Rattus norvegicus: one gene and its partners. The protein of the gene in region 1 purifies or fractionates together with the protein of each later gene. This does not show direct contact. Links are inferred from orthologs where the notes say so. Each region holds a gene or a part of one and is shown in the gene's direction. Other genes may lie near its edges.

Region 1 (4,836 bases):
ACATACATATGCACACATAATTATTTTAAGTGATGGGGTTGGGGATTTAGCTCAGTGGTAGAGCGCTTGTCTAGCTGAGGTTCGGTCCTCAGCTTCAGAAAAAAAATATATATATATTTTAAGTGCCTATGACTTTAAAAGCTGTTGAGGGAGGACTGGAGAGATGGCTCAGTGGTTGACTGCTCTTCTAAAGAGGTCCTGAGTTCAATTCCCAGCACCACTTGGTGGCTCACAACCATCTGTAGTGAGATCTGATGCCCTCTTCTGGTGTGTCAGAACACAGCAACAAGGTACTCATTCACAAATAATGTTTAAAAACCAGTTGATAACTAGATTTGACTGTCCATAGCTCGCCAGCCCGAACTTACTATATCTAAGGGTAAATATAACTAAACATTGAAAATGCCTTAGTGTTGGCAAGTATCAGAAATTTAGGTACTTACTAAGTGATCAAAGAGAGAAATGTTACCAATGGATAAAAGAAAAACTAACATTCTTTTCAATCATTTGGGGCTTTGCCTTAGGTATCAAGAGCAAAGAGAAAAACATTTTAATATTTTTAAAAGAATTATTTATTTTATGTGTAAGAGTACACTCACTGTTGCTGTCTTCAGACACACCAGAAGAGGGCATCAGATCCCATTACAGATGGTTGTGAGCCACCATGTGGTTGTTGGGATTTGAACTCGGACCTCTGCTCAGGAAGAACAGTCAATGCTCTTAGCCACTGAGCCATCTCTCCAGCCCCAAGAGAAAACTTTTTAAAAACTGATTTATTATGTAGTTTATGTATGAGTGCTCTGTATGCATGTACACCTACCTGCATGCCAGAAGGGCATCAGATGGTTGTGAGTCTCCATGTAGTTGCTGGGAATTGAACTCTGCACCCCAGGAAGAGCAGATACTGCTCTTAAGCGCCGAGCCATCTCACCAGCGCCGAGAAAACTATTTGTAATAAGCTGAAATATTTCGGACTTGATCTTTGAGAAGTCATGTAAGAGTTATAATGGGCTCTCCCCTACCCCGAGGGAAAACAAATGAGGAAAACCTGAACTGGACTACTAGAGCCAATGTCTCAGCTAAGACTCACTAGCGCTTGTCCTGAGCAGTTAAAATCCAATTAGTGTCTTAAAATTAAATGAACTGCAGGAGTAGTGGCGCCCACCTTTTATACCTGCACTGTGGAGGCAGGGTAGAAGGATCTCAGATGGCCAAGCTAAGCTAGAGTTACACAGTAAGACCATGTCTAAGAAGTTAAATGAAGATTCCTTTATAATAATAATGCTAAAAATTATTATTTAGAAGTCTATTGATAAATAACCCTGCCAAAGTAAAATAAAAAGCACGAAAAATGGAATGGTTGCTACCGGGACGAGTAAATAATGGAAATGATTAGTGTGCAACACTTGAAAATGTACAACTGACCTTAAAACAAATTTTGAAAGATTAAATTTTAAAAATGTATGTTAAGCAGGAACTTCGTTTCCGTGGCAACCCGCGCGGTACAAAGTCTCTTTGTTCTCCAGTTCTATTCTAAATCAGCTCGCCCCTAGCCCCGCCCACATCTCAATGATTTCCGCTACTGGGCTAACACGAGCCGAGGCCCCGCCCCTTCTACAGAGAGCAGCCCGCCACGCAGGAGGCGGAAACCCGCGCAGGTCGGCTCCGCCCCCTGCGGCAGATCGTGTCGTCACTTCCGCCTTCCTTTCCCCCTGCTGGCTTCCCGGCGCGGCTTGTGAGGGATTATCCTCTACTCTGAATTCGTCGGAACCATGGTGAGCCTAGCTTTCGGCCCAGGCCTTCGGCTCCTGCCCGGGTCCTGCTGTGTCCCGCCTCCCCGCTGCTCCTCTTGTCTAACCGGAGTCGCAGGCTTCCTGCGGCCGTCTCATGGACCCTCGGCACATGGCACGGACCGGGCATGAGGCCTGCGTGGGACCCGCTGACCAAGCTCTCTGCGTGGGGCTGGAAGGGAGAGCGCGCCCTAAGCCAGCATCTCTTTGTAAGATGAGAGCTTCTCATCTAGGGTACCTCGACCAGCCCCCGGCCTTAGCCCTAGCGGAGAAGTTTCTAGCTACTCTTGTCGGCCCCGCCCTCTTCGGGGCGGGTCTTGAAGGGCGAGCGGCAGTGCAGGCCTGTGGAAGATGGAGGGTAGCTAACTGGTGGTTGGTGCTTGCCCATCCTTAATGTTGCCTTTAGTTTTGTCATAAACACTAGTGGGTTGATGTGATGGCTTATTCCTGGCGCCTACAAGAACGTCCCTCTCGCCATTTAAATAAATACCCACTCCGACGACTGACTCCTGAAATTATATCGGAAACCAGTTTTCCTTTAGATAACCTTACCGATCTAGTGAGAGGCCCTAGATGTGTCTTATCGAGTACTGGCGTTCAAACGGCGTGTGTTACTTTCTCCTTCTAGGCCTCCCTTTCCCTTGCACCTGTTAATATCTTCAAGGCTGGAGCTGATGAAGAGAGGGCAGAGACAGCTCGCCTGGTAAGCCCGTCTGCTTCTTTTAAATGAAAGATCCAACTCTTTGTGAGTGTAAATTTTGACCGCCTTTTCTGATTTTTCTTTTTTAAGTCATCCTTTATTGGTGCCATTGCCATTGGAGACTTGGTGAAGAGCACTTTGGGACCGAAGGGCATGGTAAGAAAAATAAGAAATTTTTAGAAGTTTCTTTTGTTTCTAGTTTTGTTTGCTTTTCCTGTGGTCTTGTGTTGTAGTGGCTGGCCAAAAAGTACGTTTTTTTGTTTTTTGTTTTTTTTCCTTTTTTTCGGAGCTGGGGAACCGAACCTAGGGCCTTGCGCTTGCTAGGCAAGCGCTTTACCACTGAGCTAAATCCCAACCCCCCCAAAATACAAGTTTTAATAATGGTTTAAAGCTTTTGGTGTAAATTTAGTAATAATTTTTTCCCCTTATGTTTTGGAATCTAAAACTTTAAATTAGAAAAAGTCCTTTTGTATTACCATCCCCAATCACACATCTCTCTCCAGTGGCAGCAAGAGTTACCGTTTGCAAAACCTGGTAGCAATGGTTCACTTACAGATAAGTTTGTCATGTTACATTTTTTTTGCAATGCATTTTTTTAAATAACAGATACCATTTTTTTGTTTATGTCTATGTGCTTTTAGTGTGCTGTTTTCAGAGTTCATGCTACCTCCTTTTATGTGAACAGATTTTTATAGCCTTGGTACTAATGTTTTTAACTGATCTTTTGGTTAATACAGAAAGGGTTCCATTGTGATTTTTTTTTCTTTAGTATGCTATACTTTAACTATCGTATAATGTTGTGGGATGTGCTTTGAACTTTGCTGATGGACATTTGTCTGCTTCGTAGTCTTGTGGTGTAGCAAAGCTAGTTTGTATTGTCTGAACTTCTAAGATTTTACACAGTGAGGTTTACAAAGCACGTGGTAGCCAAAGAACCTTTCAGAGGTTTCTGTGTCAGCAGGTATTCTTCAGGAAGTACTTAGTTTGACACAAATTTCCTTTCAGGATAAAATTCTTCTAAGCAGTGGACGGGATGCCTCTCTGATGGTGACCAATGACGGTGCCACCATTCTCAAAAACATCGGTGTTGACAACCCAGCAGCCAAAGTTCTAGTTGGTGAGTCTGAAACTTACTCTTATTCTTTTCTAATAATTTATTTCCCGGCAGGTTGTGTTAACTATTTAAATGAGAGATATTGGCATTTATCAGTATTAAAATGAAATTCAGAAGTATTGTCATCCATAGTCCGTATGGCTGCTACAACCACAGACTAGGTAGTTTTTAAATGGTACAAGAGTCTTTGGCTGAACTGCCAAGTCCAAGATCGGTGGGCCCTTTTCTGGTGAGGTCTTTTTTTCTGTCATAATGTGACAAAAGACATAATGTGCTGAGACAAAAAAAGATCAGGGATTAGTTTCCATGAACTCGTGAGGTACATTCAAGCTAAAGTATTTAGAGCTTTAAGTCAGATCTGGAACATACTATAAATGGAGTGTAGGTTTGCTGTGGAAGTTGTAAAAGAATTTAGTGATAAGGAGGCATAATTTTGCTTTTTTTCCTAGATATGTCAAGAGTTCAGGATGATGAAGTTGGTGACGGCACCACCTCTGTTACTGTCTTAGCTGCAGAGCTACTCCGGGTAAGAGCGGCTGGCAATTCCACCTTAGTACTGGGACTGTGGTTTGAGCAGTAGTCAAATCCTCGGTTACTCTTATGTGCCTTGTTTATTGGCAGGAAGCGGAATCTTTAATTGCAAAAAAGATCCATCCACAGACCATCATTGCGGGTTGGAGGGAAGCCACAAAGGCAGCAAGAGAGGCCCTGCTGAGCTCAGCTGTGGATCATGGGTTGGTATAACGCAATCCCCTTGGGAAAGAAATCTAGAGAACCCTGAGCATTATCTTGGTACCTTGCTCTATCCTAGCAGCTAAAACCCATGCCACCCACCCAAGAACCTTGGCTAGGCCTTCACTTCCCCTCGGCCTCCGGTCTCTAGAGTTAGCTCTCACTAGCCTCAAGTTCACTGCCCAAGTGCTGGGAGTACAAGCCTGTTTCCATACCTGCTTTATTAATCCCTTTAACATGATTCTTAGCCAGTGTGTTTCTGGGTATTGATAGGTTCTCTGCGACATTAGTCCTGAGGTGCTTTAATACGGGACTGATGAATTTTCTTTAAGCTATATTGTATTTTTGAGAAGTTTTAGCTTTATAATATAGGAAATTTGCTACTCAAGAAATATTTCTATGAGTGGAATTGCTGAGTCCAAAAGTCCACCTATTTTAGTTTACTTCGATGTGTATTACTAAATAAACCTCCGGAGACGATTTTTATTTGTGCTGAGTGT
Region 2 (4,620 bases), on another chromosome or scaffold:
AATGGTTCCTTCCCCTCCTTCTGTCTTATGGGAAGTGGTAGGAAGCCAAGACATACGCGAGAAAGACAGGCCGGAAGACGGAAAGCCAGAAAGCAGGAGTCTGGGCAACCGGCACTTTAAATAACCCCAGAAGTGTTTCCAACTTGGCATACAAGACGAGGGAGCCGCTGGGCCACCACTCCGCAGCCCCGAACAACTTCGAAGTTCCTGAGCTGCTCCGGGAGGCGTTCCCAGGGTCAGGGGCGGCGAGCGAGCCGCTCCCGGCCGGCCCTACCCTAGCTGCCAGGGCCCGGCTCGCACTCACCTGGGCCGTAGGCCTGGCTTAGCTGCGCCCGAGCCCGGCCCCACACCGCCCGGAACCCCCGCAAACGACCTCCGAGTGCCCCAGCCCCAAGCCTCGGACCGCAGTCCGAGCCCCGGCCGCGGGACGCGCCTCGTCGAGGTTCGCCCACCCAGGGCCCCGCGCGACGACCCCCGGCCCGAGCCCCGCCGCCTAACCTGTCTTCGCTCTTGTTTTTCTGTTTCTTCCCCATCGCTTGTCAGCGGCGCTCGTGGCCACGGCCCCTCGGTTCGGTGTCTCACAGACCCACTGTCTCCCAGCCGACTCCAATGCCCGCTCGGCTCGGTCCCCCTCGCGCCGCCGCCTCTCGCACCCGGCTCTCCACAGACCCGCGCACTGGGACAGGGCACATATGGTGTGAGCCCTCAGTACGCAAGCGCATCGCCCCGCCGCCTCGGCGTGGGGACGCAGGGCGCGGCTCATCGAGAGCGGCGCTTCGGCTAGAGCGTCTGGAGTTGACCCGCCGGCCAGGTGGGAACTCGAGCGCCCCCTAGCCGCAAGTGAGCGCCGCGCACCGACGCCCAGCAGCTCCCGGGTTCTAGAACCTGGAGGAGGACAATGAGGCCGTTCATTTCCCACTGTCAAGCACCCTCCCCGGGGCTGGCATTCGACGCCGAAGTGGGACTGAAAACTCCCCTCGCCTCAGCTGCGGGAAGTCCACTGCAGGACCACAAGGAGCCAATGATGAGCTTTCTGGGGTTGGCAGGACCAAAAACAGAAACAAAAACAAAAATACCAATTCAGACACTGAATTGTCAACTGTGTACTTCTATTAAGGGAAAAAGACATAAGGGCACAGCGACCGGACCCCTAATATGAATCTTCTCATGAGCAAGTTCTAAAAATGCATGTGTGTAAGATAAAATGGGGAGGGAAGATCCTGGAGTGGTGAAATTTTTCTCCATATGTTTTTGTGCACTGTTATAGTGTGAGCTGTGTACAAATTTATAGCATACTGGAAGCTACACTTTAGAAACTATTAAACGCAAGGCAAACGAAGCCCCTCTGTCACTCAAGCGCAAGACCCGGCTCGTTTCCACGTAGCTTTGCGAGCTGGGACCCGCAGTCAGTGCATAAAAACTACATTCCCCAGCGTCCTTAGCGCCCATCCCTCCGGCCATTAGCCCACGTGAAGTGTAGGCTCAGAAGTCAGTAGTTCCGGGTGGCGAAGGATAAGAGCTTCTCCGAGGCTTTCGTCACTCTCCACCGCCCCTTCCGCAGGTTATATCGCGAGAGGGCTGTAGCCAATGAAAAGGTGGAGCTGACAGCTCATTCGCCGCCCTTAACAATTGCTGTGAGGTTGAAACCTGCGTGAACCTGGTCGGTGCTCTTGGTCTGCGGCTCCCTCTCTCCGTAGGCTTCACCAATAATCCAGGTACGGCAGAGGGTTCTGTAGCCGATCTTGCCACTGCGTCCCCGTGTAGATGAAGGACACACATCGGCTGCACATCCGGCTGGGCTGGGGGCGGCTGGGAGGGCCTCGTCTGGGCGGCTGCGGAGGCTACGGCGCATGCGCCCCAGTTAGTGCGAACTAGCGTCCTCCCCACCCCCCGGAACTCCTCCACCAGTCCCTTGAGCTCAGGGAGTGGCGAAGAGTCCGCTGACAGGTACACGGGGTTAGGGTTTCGGGTAGGAGTTTGTAGGGGAACAAATAAGTGTCAGCCCCCCCAGTTCATCGGTAAGAGTAATACTTAACAAATAGAAAGTTATGGGGAACCACTAAGCTACACATCCTTAGCCCCACCTAACCCAGCGCAGCACTTATTAGTCTCATGAAGCTCTGAATTTAAACTTAAAGGTCTGTGAAAACCTCAGGGATAAGCGACTACTATGCCCTGTTAATGGCAGATTGTGAGTAGCTGGTCTCGGATCCCTTCATCTAGATCTTCCTGAAGAGTCACAGTCTTATTGTATCTCTCCTCCCCAGGTTAGGGAACCTGGGGATACAGCTTTTAAGTTGTATAATATTCATGAGGAGCTGAAAATTGAGGCTTAGAGGGTAGTTTAGGGATTTTTTTTTTAAAATAAATGGTCTTATGTAGTAGCCCAGGCCTGTCCTCCAAATATATCCAAGGATGGTCTCAAACTCCTGATCCTTATGCTTCTGCCCTTGAGAACTGAGGTTACAGTCATAAGCCACCGTGCCCAGGGTTATTTTGTGTGCGAGTTGATTAGTTTTAGCTGCCAACTTTATGCAGTAACTTACAGTCACCTGGGAAGAAAGACTCATTGAGAAATTGGGTAAATCAGGTTGGCCAGTGGGTATCTTTATTCTGGGGCCTACATGGCTGAGTTTTAAGGCCAAAATGATGCCTCCAACATGGCGCCTGTTAAGGTCTCAGGCCTTATAGAGACCCTGTCTTTTAAAGAAAAACAGAAACAAAACAAAAAGAAAACAAAAACAAAAAACCCAGAGTGTAAACTTAATACTTGTTTTTTTATGAACCCCTCCCCTCCCCCAGCACCAAGACCATTTAGGAAAATGGAAGGAAATGGATCTATCGACATGTTCTCAGAAGTCCTAGAAAACCAGTTCCTCCAGGCTGCTAAGCTAGTGGAAAATCACTTGGACTCTGAAATTCAGAAACTGGATCAGATCGGTGAAGATGAGCTGGAACTGCTCAAAGAAAAGAGACTGGCGGCGCTCCGGAAGGCTCAGCAGCAGAAACAAGTAACCTCCGCCTGCTCTCTGAAACCACTGTAACCCTGTGCTCCTGACTGCACTGTGCAGTCATGTGACTTTCCCTCCTCACTTGCAGGATGTTCCAAATTCACACGACACTGTTCAGTAGCTGCCCAGGAATAAAACATTAGGGAAGACTTAGGCAAGATGTACCATTTGACTGAGGCGATGACATGTGAAAGAGAGACATTGAGACTTTTTCTTAGGGCAAGCTTAGGGTCCACACATCAAAAAGAAATACGATGGTTGTGTGTGAGAAAATATTTCTAAGTGTTAGACTTGCGTTTTTATTAGGTTGTCTTGTCTTTTGTGGGAGGGCAGGACAGGAGCAGGATCTCACTGTGTAGCCATGATTGGCCTAGAAATCTCAGACATTTTACCGCTTCTGCCTCCGAAGCGCTGGGGCCCAAGGTGTGCACCAGCACCCCCATTCTGTCTGTCATCTTCATGGCCACTCAGTGACATGGTTGGGTTGTTGCACCCACTTACAAGAGAGAAGGTGAAGTGGAAGGCTCCTTAAAACTGGTCAGTGCGCTTACCTAGGAAGCGCAAGGCCCTGGGTTCGGTCCCCAGCTCCGAAAAAAAAAAAAGAACCAAAAAAAAAAAAAAAAAAAAAAAAAAAAAACGGTCAGTAAATGTCGGATGGGCGTGGCCACTGCAGCCTCCCTTGTTACTTTTCTCCTAACCAGCAGCCTGAAAGGGAGAGTGAGCATCCGTTGAGGTGACAAGCTTTCTGCTACAGGGAAGGGGAAGGGGCTGGAAGAGTCCCAGGCTTGGTTGACAAAGGCCCTGCCTCAGCTTGGGAACCTGAATTAGATGTGAGGCTTTTTTCCCTGGCTTTGGACACCACGTGGGTGGGATACTTTTCCTTCTGAGGACTCTGCTCACTATTGGCTGCTCTAGAAGCCCCGGCCTGTTTTGAGATTACTGTCAGAAGCAGATAGGGTCCTAAGCTTCCTGAGCTTCGATAACTGCACTGTCCCCCAGGGTGGATGGGCTTTATTTCATGAGGTGGTTTGGTTTAGTTTGGTTGTCTGTTTAGTTATGCTGTGGATAGGACATTATTTCTTAAATTTGAGATTGTCATAGGATTATATCATTCCCCCTTCCCTTTGCTCCTTCCAAGCCATCCCATATTCTCCCTTTCACGCTCACAGCCTCTGTTCTCACTAATTGTTGTTACATCCCTATATGTGTGTGTGTGTAGACATACACATTTCTAAATATGCCCTGCTCAGTCTGTAATGTTAACTCGTGTGTACATTTTCAAGACTGACCATTTGGTAGTGGACAGCCAGTTGGCGTGCTTTTCCCTGGAGAAGACTCTTCCTCCCACTCTCAACATTCTTTAGTTGCCTGTGAGAGCATTACTTTCTAAAGTGTAGAAAATAGTGAGTGTGTGTGTGTGTCTCCGTGGTAGAGCTCTCCTGTCTCCTGCTCTTGCTCCTGGTTCAGTCCCTCACATCACAAAAATAAACCGAAAAACCGTTTTGTAATCAAACAACCCTGATTTTATTAGTTTAAAGAGCACACATGTGAAAGTTAAATTGGTATTTTCATGTTATGTCTCACAGACCTAAATTCTGGCTGTGAAACT
Region 3 (4,882 bases), on another chromosome or scaffold:
TGTGGGTCCACTTAATTTCATAAACTGTTCAAAGTCCTTTATACATAGCATTTTAGTATTTTGCCAGAAGGGCATAACTTACTCACTAAAGGAAAACCAGGGATGAGGGAGCCTTATATAAATAAAGCAAATAAATCCATAAATCAGCCATAAATCCATATTCTTATATAGATGATGGCATTTAAAACCTAAGTCACTATGAGTTTATTACAGATGACATTTGTCCAGGATTGGTTCTTTAGTTTGACGTTTGGTTTACCTTTGGTGTAAAATAAGTATGCTTCAATAAATATTACTGTAGAAGAAGTGATATACCATAAATAACAAACTACTAGGACAGCAAAGGTAAAACCAAGATGTGCACTAGAAAAGCGATTCTAAATTTAAACTTCAGCAAGGAAAACCCTCACACCACTATTCACAAGTCTCGGTTCAAGCAATTTATTTTTGGCTAGACGAATCACAGCTGTCAACGCTTTTTTTTTTCCCCACCCTACAATTACATAAATTATTCCGAAAAAAAATATAGACATCTTCAACTTGAAGAGAATTAACTTACAAATGCCGTGTGTCATTATGAATGGTTTTTTTTTCCTTTAAAAAGTCACACGGAATGGGGGGTTAAAAATAAAAGGCAAACAAACAAACCCTGGAAGATGCAGCAGAGCCCCCTTGCTCCCGAAATAAAACTCCTGGTGGCTGTCACAGCAGTGCTACTCCCGACAGAAGTTTTCAGCTGTCACTTCTAACAGCTGAGCGCTTCCTAGGAGAGAAGCGACAGGCCGAGAAGAGAGGTGGTTGTGGGGAGTCTGAAGATTTAAGACTTGCAATCTTACACTCCAAAGGGAAACCCTTCCGCGCCTCACCTGCACTAAGGGGGACACCCAGCAAGATCAGCCCTCCCCACCCCCAGCACACGCTCACACCACCCGGGCCACACTCAAGCCCCACAGCTCCAGAAGCCGACCGCGCGCCTTTTCTCCTCTGCGCTCCTGAAACACATCGCTCGGGGCAGCGCTCAGCTAGGGATCAGGGCGAGACCTGCACCTGCGCGCCCCGCAGAGGCCTCACACCTAGGGCCAGGTCCGCCCGCCCGCTCCCCCGCTCGGCCGCGCGGCGCCTCAGCTCCTACCGGAGACCGCTCGCGTCCCCCCGAGTCTCCGCGCCCTAGGACACACCAAGCTTCCCGGGCCCACGCCGCCACCCCGGCCCTGTCACCTCGCCGCCACCACCCCCCCTTCCCCGGGGACCCCGGGCCTCACCCCCTCCTCCAGCTCATCCTCAGAGCCTGCATCCTCTGGCTGGTCCAGGTCTATGTCAAACACTCCTGCCATGTCCTCAGCTTCCCTGTGTCGGAAGTCAGGCGCTGGGTAAAAGCCGTCCCGCCTCCGTCGTCGCCTCATGGGCCCGGACCCGCCGCAGACTCCACTGCTGCCGCCGCCATCACCGGCTGCTTAAGCTCAATGCGTCTGCGCCTAGGCCCCAGACTGGCTCCTCAAGTTCAGCCCCGGAGCATGCGTAAAAGGTCTTGTGAAGCCATTCAGTGGGCAGCGGACATGCGTAGCATTATCTCCCGGTGCCAGGTACTGGCAGGAACATGCGCAGAACACCAACCGAAGCCAAGCCAGGAAAGTAACAGCATGCGCGTTACTTGTCTAAGGCGTTTGCCGGATGTGGAGCATGCGTACCATATCTGAAGTTGATAAATTGAAATTGAACACGCGTGGTTAGCCTTTCTAAATAGAAGAAGGGAAACGGGGGTTGAAAAAAGACTAACCCTCAGCAGAGCTCTTCGCATAAGGAGCAAGCGCATTTATTTGTGCTAGGTAATTTTTTTTTAAAGTATTGAAAGTGAGCATGCGCATAGTAAGAGGGTTGGTCTCCTGAAGTTTGAACCGAACTGAAACTGCCGGTCGCAGAGCTGTCAGTGAGTGTGGGGTTAACTGGGAGCTGATAGGGAAGAAAGGCAAAGAAAGACACTTGGCTTTGCTATTTGCTAATTTGGTGGCTTGGAAAAGTTACATAACCCTTCGGTAACTCAATTTCCTTAACCGTAAAATGAGAATAGTATTACCTACGATGCAGGCTTAGACGTTAAGTTGAAAGTCTGGTTCGCAAGGCTCTGCTCATTTCCGGGGCTATCGAGACTTGATGTGAAGCATTCGTCAAAAATACTCTATTTTTATAGTCCCTGTTATCGGAGAGGCTGAGGCAGAAGGATTATGTATTTGAAGTCAGCCCAGACTAATTAGTTTCAGGCCTGACTGGGCTACTTAGGGAGACCCTGTCTCAAAACAAACAGTTCTCTTTTGTTGTTTAAAAATAATAAAGCTTTACTTCCATACTTTATCTGGTCTTTCTCTAAGTTCCAACTTTGTTTTTCCTTCTTTTCTTATGGAGACATTGTCTTACTAGGTAACTCTGGCTGTTGTAAAATTCACAGTGTAGATGCAAACTCACAGAGATCGCTCTGCCTCTGCCTCCCAAGTGCTAGGATGAAAGACTTCCGCGCTATGCCTAGATCCAACTTGTTAGTTTGTTTGGTTTTTGGTTTTCTGAGACAAGATTTCTCTGTGTGGCCCTGGCTGTCCTAGAACTAACTGTGTCCTCAAACTCAGAGATCTGCCTACCTCTGTCTCTCAAGTGCTGGGATTAAAGGTGTAGCCACCACAACCGGCCTTACTGATTTTAATTGTGCTTACCAGGCCAGAAGATGGTTGGTGAGAGAAGAATAAATAAGTCATATTTTTGGAAGACAGAAAATTAATGTTATTGACTGTTCTATTGAGCTAACTTCTGGTGTCCATGTAGTGTGAAATGTATACAAAGAATTTCTTCATCACTATATTTCCTTTAGATAATTTATGTGTGTGAGTGTATATGCACATGTGTGTGTGAATGTGATCACTTATGCAAATGCACAGGAGATGAGGGCATCCAGTTATCACTTTGAGGCACAGTCTCTCTCCCTCTCCCTCTCCCTCTCCCTCTCCCTCTCCCTCTCCCTCTCCCTCTCTCTCTCTCAACTTGGGGCTGAGTTTTCTCAACCAAGCTGGAAGCCACCCACAGTGATCCTTCTAGACAGAAGGATTGGACTTGCATCTGTAACTACAGGCCTGCACAGGACACCTGGCTTGTTACCTGGGTGCTGGCAGCTAAACTCTGCTCCTCATGATTACACAGCCCCCACCACCAATGCTTTTGTTGTGGTTTGTTTGTGTTCTTTTAAAAGCATAGTTGGAAAAACAGTGAATGTGAATCATATTTTGGGAACTATTGAATTGTGTGTGAATGAATTTGGGGACAGTAAATACTAAATCCCCCAAGTTATAGAGTGAGGAAATTTCTTTTAATGACTAGATTCTTAGATAGAGACAGGAAAGACTGAGGAACATGGGGAGATCAGGAAAAGGATGCTTTATTCCAAAATTTAGTTGAGGTCTCACCATCCGAGAATCAGGATTCCAGCTCAGAGAACTGGGGAAGATGGCTCAGGGGCAAATTACTCACTATACAAGCATGAGAATCTGAGTATGAATTTCCAGAATCCATGTTAAACCAGATGTGTGCTAACCAGATGGGTGGAGTAATCCCAGTACTCCAATGGAGAGATGGAGGGTGGGGACAGGAGATCCCATAGAATCATGGGCTAGCTAGCCTGATACACAGCTGCAAACAACAAAAGAGAGGCCCATCCTCAGACCTGGTAGAAAGCAAGGACTACACATATGTATATATGATTAATAAAATTTTCTGTGAAAGTTGACTATATAGGAACGTTTCTTTCTATAGGGCTATTTCAAATAAGAACGTTAAGGTGGTAATGAGCCATGCTTATGGCCTAAGAGTATATGATTTCTTACCATATACTGTTTCCAGATGTAAGCTTGCAGTTTTCTCTCTTGAACAAGGCCATGAGCTCCATTTACAGAGAAATATGTTGTAACTCCCTTGTTACAACCTTCGTGTCCTTTGGTTTTACTTGTCAGCCTGTTGACCTCACCAATACATTCTAGGAAACACTTAGTAATCATACACACACACACACACACACACACACACACACACACACACACACACACGAGGGGAAGAAAAACAGATCTCTTGGAAAGTCTTTGAACAGTATAATGTCAAGACAGTAAAATCAGGCTAGAGAGGGCTCAGCAGTTAAGAGAGTTTGCTGCTCTTGCAGAGATCCAGGTTCAGTCCCAGGCATCTACAAGGCAATTGTGATAGTGGTCCCAGATGATATGTTGTGACACCCTCTTCTGGCCCCCGAGGGCACTGATGCATGTAGTCGACAGACATACGTGCACATAACATAGGGATAAATTTCACAGCACTCAGGAGGCAGAGGCAAGGTGATCTCTGTGAGTTTGAGGTCAGCCTGATCTATATAGTGGGTTCCAGGACAGCCAGAGCCACACAGTGAGGCCCTGTCTCAAAAACAAGGAAAAAAAAAAGATTAATTATGTACTTTTAAAACGAAGGCAATAGGGCTGGAGAGATGGCTCAGTGGTTCAGAGCACTGACTGCTCTCCCAGAGGTCCTGAATTCAATTCCCAGCAACCACATGGTGACACGCAACCATCTGTAATGGGATCTGCTGCCCTCTTCTGGTGTGTCTGAAGACAGCTACAGTGTAGTCACATATATAAAATTTTCTAAAAATGTCATTTTATGTTGTATGAGAATACCTGCATGACTGTATGTACACAATATGCATGCAGTGCCTGGGAAGGCCATAAGAGGGTAACTGGATCCCCTGGAGCTAAAGTTTCAGGCGGCAGTGTAGGTGCTGAGACACATCCCGGGTCTTCTGCAAGAGGAGCAAGTGCTTTAGCCACCGGGCTGTCCTACCACCGCTTACTGCTGGAGTATG
Region 4 (4,646 bases), on another chromosome or scaffold:
CCTGCCTGGGTGCAGGGAACAGAATTCAGGTCCTCTGGAAAAGCAGCAAGCTCATCTAACTATTATTATTATTATTATTTTTTAAAGATCTATTTATTTATTTTGTATATGAGTACACTGTGACTGCCTTCAGATACACCAGAAGAGGGCATCGGATCCCATTACAGATGGTTGTGAGCCATCATGTGGTTTCTGGGATTTGAACTCAGGACCTCTGGAAGATCAGTCGGTGCTCTTAACCGCTGAGCCATCTCTCCAGCCCTCCTTTAACCATTATTAAACCATCTCTCTGGCCACTAAGCTACAATTCTTTTTTTTTTTTTTTTTTTGGTTCTTTTTTTCGGAGCTGGGGACCGAACCCAGGGCCTTGCGCTTCCTAGGCAAGCGGTCTACCACTGAGCTAAATCCCCAACCCCTAAGCTACAATTCTTAATTCAAGCCCATCTTAGGACAGCCCCACGACTGGCTCAGCTTTTTACTCTCCTCTAGAGCATCGCTTTAATTTAAAATTAAACTACATAAAGACATATGAATTTTAAATATTTATGGAGTATCATCTTCATAACGAATGCATACATTGCGTTTCACCCACCTACATATATTGTATTCTTTAAACTGGGTTAAACATTTCTCCGATATCGCTTACGGTGAAAACATTCAAAATCTTTCTTTTAAAAAAATATAGGGGCTGGGGATTTAGCTCAGTGGTAGAGCGCTTACCTAGGAAGCGCAAGGCCCTGGGTTCGGTCCCCAGCTCCGAAAAAAAGAACCAAAAAAAAAAATAATATATATATATATATATATATATATATATATATATATATAGAGAGAGAGAGAGAGAGAGAGAGAGAGAGAGAGAGAGAGCGCGCAAATGACCCTTATCTGCAGTCACCTCGCTGTGCGACAGTACACCAGATTGTCTCACTCTTAGTTGACCCCTACAGGATGTCAGTGTAGTCCAGGCTAACTCCTCATACCCCAGCCTCCTCAGTGCTGGAAATTACATAGAGCGTGCCACCATAGATACTGCTCTTCCCTGAAGTATCTATGAGGTAAAATACATCTGTAAAGTGAGAGGAACGAATCGAATGCTAAAGCGGTGATTGGGTAATCAGATTGGGTATTATTAACAGGCAACACTTGGATCTTTGCTCTTGTTAAGACATAAACTGCCTACTTTTTTCCTTTTTATTCTTTTTGTTGTTGTTGTTCTTCCTCTTCGAGACAATGTTTGTTGTTGTTGTTGTTGTTGTTGTTGTTGTTGTTCGAGACCGGGTTTCTCAGCGTAGTTCTCCTGACTGCTGGAACTCGTTCTGTACACCAAGCAAGCCTCTAATGCCGCCTGGCTCGGCCTCCAGCGTGCAAGGATTAAAGGCGTGCGTAACCTCCGCCGGGTTTAAACAATCCGGTTTCTTCTGGTCCAGCACACAAGCGAAGTCCCAGTCCTTAGGGAGTTAAAAGAAAAAAAAACCCTCCCAGCACGCTCCACACGTTACTCCGGAAGAGGTGGAGCAGCCGGGGGCGGACCATGCCCAAGGGGCGGGGCAGTCTGGGGCAGTTCCGGGGGCGGGACAGCCCCCTACTGTGGCAATCCCGAGGGGGCGGGGTAGTTCCAAGGGGCGGGACAGCCCTGAGGGGACAGGGCGGGGCTAAAAGTAAAGCAGCCCTAGGAGAGTTTGGCGCGAAGTTGTCTGTGCCAAGCTACCTGCGACGACGGCGCTCCTTCGTACGTAGTCCCTTCCTGTTTTTCTCCTTCGAGGCTTTTCAGGTCTTGCTTCGTTATTTTGCCATAGAGCTTGGTATCTCTTCACCGAGTACGTCATGGCTCCCAAGAAATGCCCAGAAACCCAGAAGTCCCCCGACGTTGCGGTGCTCCTCAAGAGCAAAAGCCGCAGAAGTCCTCAGGAGCTGGAGCCCGAAGCCAAGAAGCTGTTTGTGCAGGGTCCCGGTACGGCCTGTGCGCTGCCTTAGCTTTCGGGTGGTTCAGGGTGCTCACGCCAGAGGCTGAAGGTGGGGTGGTCGGTGCTTGTGCCTAGGATTCTGAAGCAGTTCCTGGTCCCCGTCACCTCAGGCTGTGATTTTATTTGAGAGATCTAGGGCTCGAACCCAAGCCTCTAGTACGCTCAGCAAGTGGTCTGCAACTGAGCTACACTCATAGGACTGCGCTTTATTTGCCAGTTCATTGACACCAGAGAGTTTAAGTTTAACTGTCACCCCCCACCTCTACCCCAGGTGGCAGTAAGAATCAGATGAGCTCCATCACCATAAAAGCCACACTCATCACTTTTCCTTGCAGAAGTTTTACACATCTGTTTCAAAGTTATCCTCACTTTCATAGACCTTTGATTGCTGAATTTCCATAGTGGGTGTTGTTAGCTGTATGGCCTTGGGTTTCAGCTCGGAGAGTGAAGTCTCCCCCCAACCCCTTTTCTTCAGGAAGCTCATTCTCGTTTACCAGGGCTTGAACCTGGGGCTATAAGGAATGTGGTAAAGTGATATGGTTTTAGCCATGTTCTCATGGGAAGGAAAGTTGTCAAGAGAAAGGACCTTATAAGATTGGGTCCACCAGAAGGGTTTGGTAATTCAGGGTTACTTTGTTTTCATATACTCTGATTTACCTCCTTTCCCTGAAGCAACCTAATCAATTTAGAGCTTTTCTAAACCCTGGTTAATTCTTCTGGTTTCCACTCAAGTAATGGTTGCTCATCACGTTATTTATTTAGTATTTCTGTGTAGACCAGGCTGGCCTCCAGTTCAAGATGTTTATGCTCCAGCCCTCAGAGTGCTAGGATTACAGTTATGCACCAATATGTTTGGATAGCTCTTATTTTAATATAAGATTAAACAAACCTCTTTCCCTAAGCAATTACTCCCATGCTGTCCTAGAAATGTGATTTTAAGTTTGTCCCTCAACTCCTACTAATTTGTCATCCCACACAAGAAAAGTCTTGAGTGTACACTATTCTGTAGCTCCTTGGCAAAGCTCTAAGGAACCCTGAAAGGCCATATTTAGTTTCACTGCAGAATTACTGTTTGGAGGAGTGTTTTGGGAAAGTGTTGTTATTACTTTCTTGGGTTGAGTGATATTCAACAGCAGAGAAAGGCTTTTAGGAGATGATGAGACAAAGGATTTTCAGAGGGGAAACCTTTCCTGAGACTGGGGAGAGGAAAACGTCTATTCTTCTTGGGCAGTTTCTAGTAGGAAATGTGAGTCGTGCTGCCTTCTGGCAGAGTTGTCCAGCTTGCAGATCCCTCCGAGGAGCAGCAGCATTGTCCGGGATCTTTACCAGCAGAAGTTGGGCAAAGCCACCTGGCCGTCACTACAGCAGGTGAGATGTTTCCTGTCTGAGGCGCTCAAAGGTGTACATAGCTTTTCAACTGCTGCCCGCTCTAACCAGACGATGGATTGGTTCAGAATCATCAGGTCACCTCAGATATGATGACTGACCTACTGGACACTCAGTCAAAGAGAAAATGTTTTACTCTGTAGACATCCTAGCTACAACAAGCATTCTCCCTCCTGCTTGCCAGGATTAGTTCACATACATTGCAGATAGTTGATACACAAGGCCAACAAAGACTTACTGCCTACGCACAAAGGAGCCAGAGAGTGACAGTTTACCCAGGACTTGAGTTTAGTTTTTATTAATGTTCTGAGACACAATCTCTGTGTAGCCTTAGCTGGCCTGGATCTCTGTATGTTGACCTGGCTGGCTTCAGTCTCACAGAAATTCACCTACCTCTACCTGCTGAGTAGTGGAGTGAAAGGCATGCACCACCATGCCCAGCTTAGGACATGAGTTTTAATTCAGGGAATCCAGATTAACTCTATTTTCTCTGTATTAGGGTCTCCAGAAGTCCTTTTTGCACTCTCTAGCTTCTTACCGGGTATTCCAAAAAGCTGCCCCCTTTGACAGGAGGACAACGTCCTTGGCATGGCACCCGACTCATCCCAGTACTTTGGCTGTGGGCTCCAAAGGGGGAGATATTATGATCTGGAACTTTGGCATAAAGGACAAACCCATCTTCCTTAAAGGGGTAAGTGGTTACGTGAGCCAGATGGTTATGCTTTAAGGCTGATTGTTGGAGGAATGGAAGGAATGTTGATAGCCAGATGATTGGGGAAAAAAGTAACTGGTTTTAAAACTTATAAATGGCAACACAATTCAAATATGTTTTTAATGATGGTCTTTAAAATATCAGAAGGTATAGACTGGTCTATAAAGTCTAGCATTCCTCTTCCTCATCTTCTCCCTCCTCCTTTTCGTCATCTTCTTTTTGAGATAGAATTTCATTGGTTGGCTTGGAATGCATTGTAGACCAGGCTTGCTTCAAATTCATAGACCTGCCTGCCTTGGCCATGCCTTTCTGTATCCCTTCCTACAAAACCTCATTTTGTCCATCTTTCCTGTGGTAGTTAATTTTTCATTACTGTGGCAGTCCCAGAGAGAAGGGATCTAAAGGAAGAAAAACAGCTGGAGAGTTTTGGCCCATGCTTGTTTGCTCTGTGGGCATCATGGTAGAAGAGGATGGTAGAGCAGTGCGGCTTATCTCAGGAGTCAGAAAGCAGGGAGAATGAATTGCAAGGGGTCTGGAGTAAGTGATTGCCTTGTCCCCTAGTGACCTGTTTCCTCTAACCAGACCCC

Evidence for each region.
Region 2: the proteins of Cct2 (region 1) and Txndc9 purify together in Homo sapiens (co-immunoprecipitation; 3 studies listed by BioGRID and IntAct, counting the BioPlex papers as one, with this or other methods). This does not show direct contact. The link is inferred for Rattus norvegicus from reciprocal best matches to the Homo sapiens genes CCT2 and TXNDC9.
Region 3: the proteins of Cct2 (region 1) and Tubd1 purify together in Homo sapiens (co-immunoprecipitation; 3 studies listed by BioGRID and IntAct, with this or other methods). This does not show direct contact. The link is inferred for Rattus norvegicus from reciprocal best matches to the Homo sapiens genes CCT2 and TUBD1.
Region 4: the proteins of Cct2 (region 1) and Ddb2 purify together in Homo sapiens (co-immunoprecipitation; 3 studies listed by BioGRID and IntAct, counting the BioPlex papers as one, with this or other methods). This does not show direct contact. The link is inferred for Rattus norvegicus from reciprocal best matches to the Homo sapiens genes CCT2 and DDB2.

What each region holds. Positions count from the first base shown.
Region 1 is NC_086025.1:54,588,287-54,593,122, reverse strand, and holds the start of Cct2 (T-complex protein 1 subunit beta), read left to right. Parts: upstream 1-1,717; 5' UTR 1,718-1,772; coding exon 1,773-1,775; exon of another isoform or gene 1,776-1,918; coding exon of another isoform or gene 1,919-1,999; intron 2,000-2,418; coding exon 2,419-2,493; intron 2,494-2,580; coding exon 2,581-2,646; intron 2,647-3,495; coding exon 3,496-3,607; intron 3,608-4,053; coding exon 4,054-4,130; intron 4,131-4,225; coding exon 4,226-4,338; intron 4,339-4,836. UniProt on the Homo sapiens protein: Component of the chaperonin-containing T-complex (TRiC), a molecular chaperone complex that assists the folding of actin, tubulin and other proteins upon ATP hydrolysis.
Region 2 is NC_086027.1:47,714,767-47,719,386, reverse strand, and holds the start of Txndc9 (thioredoxin domain-containing protein 9), read left to right. Parts: upstream 1-1,625; 5' UTR 1,626-1,715; intron 1,716-1,811; exon of another isoform or gene 1,812-1,947; intron 1,948-2,802; 5' UTR 2,803-2,822; coding exon 2,823-3,011; intron 3,012-4,620. Other genes in the region: Eif5b (eukaryotic translation initiation factor 5B), read right to left, coding at 499-533. UniProt on the Homo sapiens protein: Significantly diminishes the chaperonin TCP1 complex ATPase activity, thus negatively impacts protein folding, including that of actin or tubulin.
Region 3 is NC_086028.1:71,863,788-71,868,669, forward strand, and holds the start of Tubd1 (tubulin delta chain), read left to right. Parts: upstream 1-1,887; 5' UTR 1,888-1,927; exon of another isoform or gene 1,928-2,033; intron 2,034-4,882. Other genes in the region: Rps6kb1 (ribosomal protein S6 kinase beta-1), read right to left, coding at 1,263-1,403. UniProt on the Homo sapiens protein: Acts as a positive regulator of hedgehog signaling and regulates ciliary function.
Region 4 is NC_086021.1:97,660,449-97,665,094, reverse strand, and holds the start of Ddb2 (DNA damage-binding protein 2), read left to right. Parts: upstream 1-1,651; 5' UTR 1,652-1,793; coding exon of another isoform or gene 1,794-1,821; coding exon 1,822-1,948; intron 1,949-3,192; coding exon 3,193-3,329; intron 3,330-3,846; coding exon 3,847-4,038; intron 4,039-4,646.